Linked DNA regions of Canis lupus familiaris. The protein of the gene in region 1 interacts with the protein of each later gene in a pairwise test. Links are inferred from orthologs where the notes say so. Each region holds a gene or a part of one and is shown on either strand. Other genes may lie near its edges.

Evidence for each region.
Region 2: the proteins of TLE1 (region 1) and HES6 interact in binary tests that used the Homo sapiens proteins (3 or more experiments, as listed by UniProt). The link is inferred for Canis lupus familiaris from reciprocal best matches to the Homo sapiens genes TLE1 and HES6.

What each region holds. Positions count from the first base shown.
Region 1 is NC_049222.1:78,254,122-78,257,665, forward strand, and holds part of TLE1 (transducin-like enhancer protein 1), read left to right. Parts: intron 1-2,608; coding exon 2,609-2,756; intron 2,757-3,544. UniProt on the Homo sapiens protein: Transcriptional corepressor that binds to a number of transcription factors. Inhibits NF-kappa-B-regulated gene expression. Inhibits the transcriptional activation mediated by FOXA2, and by CTNNB1 and TCF family members in Wnt signaling.
Region 2 is NC_049246.1:48,991,807-48,995,441, reverse strand, and holds HES6 (transcription cofactor HES-6), read left to right. Parts: upstream 1-1,332; 5' UTR 1,333-1,389; coding exon 1,390-1,470; intron 1,471-1,540; coding exon 1,541-1,627; intron 1,628-1,733; coding exon 1,734-1,815; intron 1,816-1,955; coding exon 1,956-2,380; 3' UTR 2,381-3,025; downstream 3,026-3,635. UniProt on the Homo sapiens protein: Does not bind DNA itself but suppresses both HES1-mediated N box-dependent transcriptional repression and binding of HES1 to E box sequences.

The DNA.
Region 1 (3,544 bases):
CAAAAACTAAATCAGCACTGTCCAAGGGTCATTCTCCCCAGGAATGAGCCCAACTTCCTGGAATCTGTCCTCTTAACTGTGGTGACAGCTGCAGTCCTGCCAGCCCAGTGTCTCTTCTCAGCCCTGGCCAGCTCCTTCCCTCTGCTGGAGTCAGAGTCCACACCAGAGATGTTACAGAAAAGTTTCCAAAGGGAAGCACCAGTTAAACATCCCAGGTAAAACTGGTGTGTGTTCTGGTTTATTCCCTATTTCAACTTTGCTCAGAAGTGCTCTTCATTTATGGTGTGTTTTAGGCTCATGAATTACTTAACAGGTCCCCTAATGCTTTGGGTCCATGTGCCAGAGCAAAGGGATGGACTTTAGATGTCATTATAGCAGCTTAGTCTCTGTCCAGATGTCCTCTGTAGAAATCCAGTCAGTGTCACAGAGCCAGGCTCTGTCCCTGTGTGTGGGTGACACCATGGCCATTATTTTTCTCTTGTCACCTGCTGAGCAGCTCAGAATGTGCAGAATGGACACATGCAGCTGGAGCTGACACCCCCTTCAAACTTTTAGCCCAACAGGTGTTTGTTGTTTTTTTTCTTTTCTTTTTTTTTTTTTTAATCTCAATAAATAGCACTTTCAACATTTTAATTCTAAGGCCTTTTCAAATACTAATCCGTTTAATCCTCAGAACATCTGCACTGCTATTATTTTGATTTTATAGGTAAGGAACCTGAGGTACACAGAGAGGTTAAGTCTGTTTGCCTGGCTCACACAATTGGGTGTGGGGGAGATGTGATGGGGCACAGGCATGCTGTTCTTATGTCTGTGCTCTGAACTCCTGCTCTGTGCTGGCGCCCTGCTGAATATAACAGGGTAATGTTTTACAAATGTCTTGCTCAGTTTGGGTTGGCTGCAGGTGGCTGGTGGCTTCTCTGTATGAGAAGGTGACATGGAATCTGCTGAGCATCTCAGTATCTCCCGAGACCCAGCACGGTCTGAGCCTGTCTTCCAGGAGCCTGAGATTAGTACCGAGATTTGTGGGTGGGAGGGGTGGAGGAACACCCACCAGGCACCTGACGTCAGCAGAGAAAGGCATTCATGACTCCTAGAGAATGCAGAGAGGTCACTGGGTTTCTCGAGTAGAAACCAGGATGGAATAGCAGAACTTTCACAAGATGAGTCTGAGACTGCAGTCGTCCTGGGTGACCTGTGGGGAAGTCTTGGAGGAAAGGGCAGCTGGCTGGGGTACGTGTGCATGGGACATGGTGGGGAGGGTTGCGTGCATGCGGGGAAGAGGACGAAGATGGATATTCAGAATAGCTTTTAGAGGAACGATTTTTGAAGCTCTCATCTTAGAATTCACATCAAGTGGTGCTTTGTCTTGTCTTCCACACTCCTTAAACTCTTTTTTTTTTAAATGATTTTATTTATTTAGTCGAGAGAGAGGCAGAGACACAGACAGAGGGAGAAGCAGGCTCCCTGCGGGGAGCCCAATGTGGGACTCAATCCCAGGACCCCAGGCTCATGCCCTGAGCCAAGGGCAGATGCTCAACTGAGCTACCCAGGCATCCCCACACTCCACTCATTAAATTCTAAGCTCAGTTTCAAAGTTTGGAGCTCTGTGAGAATAATAAGGTGAGGGGACCTAGAGGAAGGACAGACATAGAGACTCCTCTCTGGGTGTTGAAACTCCCCAGCCCCTCTAACGTATCCCGCCTGGTTCCCCGTAGCAATGGGGTCTGTTCTGGTCACTTCCTTGCTGGCTCCCTCCTGCCCTGCAGAACCAGGTCCAGAATCCACAAACCACCAACCCTGCGGTGGCTCAGTGTGGCCTCTCCCTCAGCAGACCCCACCTCGGGCCTAGCAGAGCCTCTTTGTGCCACAAACCCCTGTCACTTGATTGTTTCTGGTCTTGTTTTTTTGACTGAACCACAGGAGTTCTCTCTAAGAGAGAACCTTGAGCTGACCTTCAAGGCAGGGTCCTGCGGAGTGCCCATGGGTCAGCCTCAGAAGTTAGTGGTCTCTGCTCAGTGCCCCCGAATCAGGAGGATGGTATGATCCTTCATCTCTGGGAGTCCAGATTTCCTAACGCAGGGCTCTTTCTAACACAGAAAGCGAGGTTGAGTAAATATGTGAGCTCATGCTGTGTTGGCATGGAGGGCATTGCCTTGTGGACTCCCTCATGGAAAAGGGAGTGTTTCTGGGACCCTGAGCTGGTAATGTACTGATGCAGGCCGACGTCTTTCTTTACAGAATACGCTTGGGATTCTGTGTGTTTGTCCTTCTTTTTTTTTTCTTTTAACACTCAAACACTTTTCCAGACCCGGGAGGAATTTTACCTTCCAGACGGATTTGTAAGAAGAGCTACAAGAGCGCATTTAACTTCTCCTGTGTGATGACCTAAAATGGCATTCCATTTCTTTAGCACTTGGATCGTGAAAAAAGAAAAGGGAAAAAAATCTGCAGGTGCTGTTTCCTCCTCGGGGGAAGGTTAGTTTGATCTTGCACATCAGCAGACACTGAAGAGATGACACACACACCCCGCGTCCAAAACTAACAACACAACAGTGTTTACCTTGAGCTCTGGCAGGAAATCATTATTCAATCTCGTTTGTTTTATCAGGCAATTCCAGGGCCACACAGATGGGGCCAGCTGTATTGACATTTCTAACGATGGCACCAAGCTCTGGACGGGTGGCCTGGACAACACGGTCAGGTCCTGGGACCTACGCGAGGGGCGCCAGCTGCAGCAGCACGACTTCACCTCACAGGTGATGTGCTTTTCCCCACAGGAATCTCTGAAGTGGCCTGTGTGTGATGTCTTCCTCCCTTCATACCCCGTGGCAGTAATTATGAGGCAGACAGACTAGCCTTAAATTTGAGATACCCATTTAAAACAAACAATAAAAAAACCCCACAAACAAAGCCTCTGAAATGCTTAGCGTGGTTTCTAAAACTTTGTCAGTAAGACCTGTGAGTTTTACTTATATGTGAGTTCACCGCAGGAACTTGTTCAGCAAAGGACATACAGTTTGACCTGCTGTACATATTCCCATCATCTAGTGTGGGGGGTGAGAGGTCATTATTGGATCCACATATAAACAGAGCTTGAAAAATGTGCCGGGTTATCATGAGGAGTCAAGAAAAATCACAACACTCTGAAAGTTAATTCATTTCCCTTGCATAGGGGAGCTTAAAAAATGCAGCAGCATCTCAGTGGTTGCCCATTTTCTTATTCATCCCTCGGAAACTGGACTCGTGGCTGGCTAGATTTATGGAGGTTTGAAATTACAGGAAATGGCAACTTTGTGGGTCATGGAGATGAGTTAGATATCGAGTATCTGAATCTAGACTTGTTCTGGGAACAACGGTGCCATTCTAGGTGTCTTCTGACGGTGGGATTGATCTTTTGATCATTACTCGTGTATAGCTGTGCATAATTCTAAATTTTGTGTCCCTGTTAATCTTGTGGGGAGTCTCTTAGAGTCTTCTCATTCCAGCCCTTTTCTCGGCATGAGTTAGGCTACTGTTTTTGGTCTGCCTTTTAAAAAAAAATAAC
Region 2 (3,635 bases), on another chromosome or scaffold:
GGATCCCAGTCCCTGGTGAGTAGTGTGGGGCTGGGTAGGGGTGCAGCGCTACTGCGGGGCAGGTGCGCTCCCACCAGGAGGAGGAAGAGGAATAGGGAGGCGGAGACCTAAACAGTGAGTAGATAGATCCTTGGAGGGGTGTTGAAGAGTGTTCCAGGTGGGAGGCTCAGCCTGTGCCAAGGCGTGCTGCCCAGAGCCCATCTTGCCCGTCCAGCCTCGCTGTGCCGGGAACAGCCGGGGTCCCCAGGGTGCTGCCCAGGGCGCGGCCCCCCGCCCACACACCCCACCCGCAGGGAGGCCGGTCTGGCAGATGGGCGGCCGCGGGGGGCGGGGGCGGTCGTCTGGCGGACACAGGCTCACCCGCCATCCGCCGCTGGACAAAGCGCGCCTAGACAAAGGCGCGGCCAACACCTGTCGCTCTTGGCGCGGCCCTCGCTTTTCTCCAGCGGAGCCGCTGCAGCTGCCAACTGTCATGGGCATCAAGTTACGGAGACCAGACGGCGGCCTCGGCCAGTGGGGGGGGGGTGCTGGGGGGGAAAGGGAGGCGAGGAGGGCGGGGGGGGGGCGGAGGAGCCTGGCCCGGGAGAATGAACAGGAGTGGGGAGAAGGACGGGGCGGGAGCGGGGGGAGGGGGGGCAGGGAAGGGCGGGGACGAGGGCAGGGATGTCCGTGCGGGGAGGGCGGGGGGCGGGGGAGTGAAGGGGATTAGGGGGACCTGCGGGGCTCAGGGGGGCAGCGATGATGGTTAGAAAGGAAAGGCCTGCTGGTGTGGGGGGGTGCCCGGGAGAAGGGTGACCCGAGGAGGGCAGGGCGGCCCCGCGCGGGCGCAGGACGCGGTGCAGGGTCGAGTCCCGCGCGGGAGGGACCAGCACGCAGGGGTCTCCGGGGAGCCAGGGAGCCGCTCGCCACCCCGGGAGCCCCCTTGACGGTGCCGGCCCCCCGGCCCCCCGGCCCCCCGGCCCCCGACGCCCCTCGGGAGGCCCCTGGCGCGGACTAGGACGAGGGACCGAGGGATGCGGCCCCGGCGCACGCGGACCCGGGGGCCTGGCTCAGGTAGGGGCAACAGAGGCGCCCCCGCGGCCGCGCCCCGGGTCACTGCCCCCTCGGGCGCCCCAGGCCGCGGCGGGGGCGCGGAGGCCGCGCTGGGGGCCCCGCCGGCCCCGCCCCACCAGCTGCCGGGCGGCGGGCGGCGGCGGCGGGGCCGGACAATGCGCGCCGCTCCCATTGGCCGCCGCGCGCCCCGAGCCCGCGGCCCCGAGCCCGGCCGGCCAATCCGCGCATTGAGATGCAAATGAGGGGCTATAAGAGGGGCGGGGCGCGGCGGGGCGGCGAGGGCGCGGCGGGCTCCGGGCTCCGGGCTCCGGGCTCCGGGCTCCGAGCCGGGCGGGCATGGCTCCGCCCCTGGCGCCGGGACGGGACCGCGCGGGCCGGGAGCACGAGGACGGCTGGGAGGCGCGGGGGGACCGCAAGGTGCGGGGCGCGGGCGCGGGCGGGCGGGGGCGGGGGGCCGGGCCGGGGCTCAGTCGGCCGCTTCCCGCAGGCCCGGAAGCCCCTGGTGGAGAAGAAGCGGCGCGCGCGGATCAACGAGAGCCTCCAGGAGCTGCGGCTGCTGCTGGCGGGCGCCGAGGTGAGGGCGGGCGGGGGCGCGCGCGGGGGCGCGGCGGGGGCGCGGGGGCGCGGCGGGGGCACGGCCCGGCCTCACCGCGCCGCCCCGCCCCGCCCCGCCGCCGCAGGTGCAGGCCAAGCTGGAGAACGCCGAGGTGCTGGAGCTGACGGTGCGGCGTGTGCAGGGCACGCTGCGGGGCCGCGCGCGCGGTGAGTGGCGGGGGCGCGGGCGGGCCGGGGCTGGGCACCCCCCGCCCGGCGACCTCAGGGCCCCTGGGGGAGCCCGGCCTCCGCAGTCGCCGCTCACCGGCCCCGGGCCGCCGCTCTCTCCCTCCCGCCCCCGGGCGCAGAGCGCGAGCAGCTGCAGGCGGAGGCGAGCGAGCGCTTCGCGGCCGGCTACATCCAGTGCATGCACGAGGTGCACACGTTCGTGTCCACGTGCCAGGCCATCGATGCCACCGTCGCCGCAGAACTCCTGAACCACCTGCTCGAGTCCATGCCCCTGCGCGAGGGCAGCAGCTTCCGGGATCTGCTGGGGGACGCCCTGGCCGGGCCGCCGGGAGCCCCCGGGCGAAGCGGCTGGCCCACGGGAGGGGTCCTGGGGTCCCCTCTGCCCAGCCCCCCAGGCCCCGGGGACGACCCGTGCTCCGACCTGGAGGAGGCCCCCGAGGCTGAACTGACCCGAGCGCCGGCCGAAGGGCCAGACTTGGTGCCAGCAGCCCTGGGCAGCCTGACCGCTACCCGCGTAGCCCAGAGCGTCTGGAGGCCTTGGTGACCAGCTCCAGCCCGAGGTGTGCAAGGGTGGCCGTGGCCTTCCCTTGCTCCGCTCCTGCCTCCCTGCGGTCCAGATGTGTGGGGCGGGGACCTGGGTGCCTCCCAGGTGGGCCGGCTCTCTTCCCCGGGTGCTTGGGTGGCAGGGCAGCGGGGATGAGCAGCCCAGGCAGGCCCCTAGCCGTGTTTCTTAAGGAAGTCCATCTCTTATGGACCCCACAGCTCCCCCCGGGTGGGTGCAGGGCGGGAGCTACAGGCAGGAGGAGGAATCTTACAGAACTACCAGGGTTCTCCAGGGTCTCACTGTCCCGGCCTTCTCGGGGACTGTGTGGATCTGGGGGCAGACGTGACCAGAGTGGCGCTGAAGCCCTTCTCGGTGTGGGGCACTCGGGACCGGGACGGAGGGAGACCTCAGACCCCGACGGCCCTGGCCTGAGCAGCAGCTTGAACTTGCCCCTTCAGTCGGACACGGGGGAGGCAGGTGCTTTCTGCACACATGTTGCCCATGTGTGCCAGAGAGAAGCAAAGCCCCCTGAACGTCTTGCATCTAGCACATTTGAGTCTGTGTTATTAGTTTACCATCAGATGTTCTGGTTTTATTAAATAAAGGTTTTTGGAGAGTTAGTTACCCTTCTGGAGTGGGGCTGAATGATGTGGTGTCATTAATGTGTCTAATGTGTAAATACTAAACTAAGGGCGTTCTTCCTGTATCTAATGCCAGTGAGTGTTTCTAAAGCCTGTTCCCCTCTGTCGGCAAAGTTAGTAGCGTAATGGTGGTGGCGAGGAGGCCCCCTGTGGCCTGTCTCACCGTGGGTAGTGCCTCCACCTCCCTGGGAATGCTGTGCGCCCTGGAGATGGGGTTTGTCTCCAGAGTAACCAAGCAACAGGGAAATAGTGTGTCCCGGGACCATTCTCGGATTCACGAGCTTCTAGGAATAAAATGAATGGCTACTTCCTAGCCATGTGCTTTGAAGTTTCTTTAAAATCTTTTTTAAGATTTTATTTATTCATGAGAGACAGAGAGAGAGAGAGGCAGAAGGAGAAGCAGGCTCCATGCACGGAGCCCGATGTGGGACTCGATCCCGGGACTCCAGGATTACACCCTGGGCCAAAGGCAGGCACTAAACTGCTGACTCCCTCCCCCCGCCCCCCCCCCCCCCCCCCCCGCACTGGGATCTCCAATCAAAGACCTGTTTTAGGATCTATGAGCATGATGCGATGGCAGGTGGTCACTTTTCCTGACAGAAGAGGAACCATAC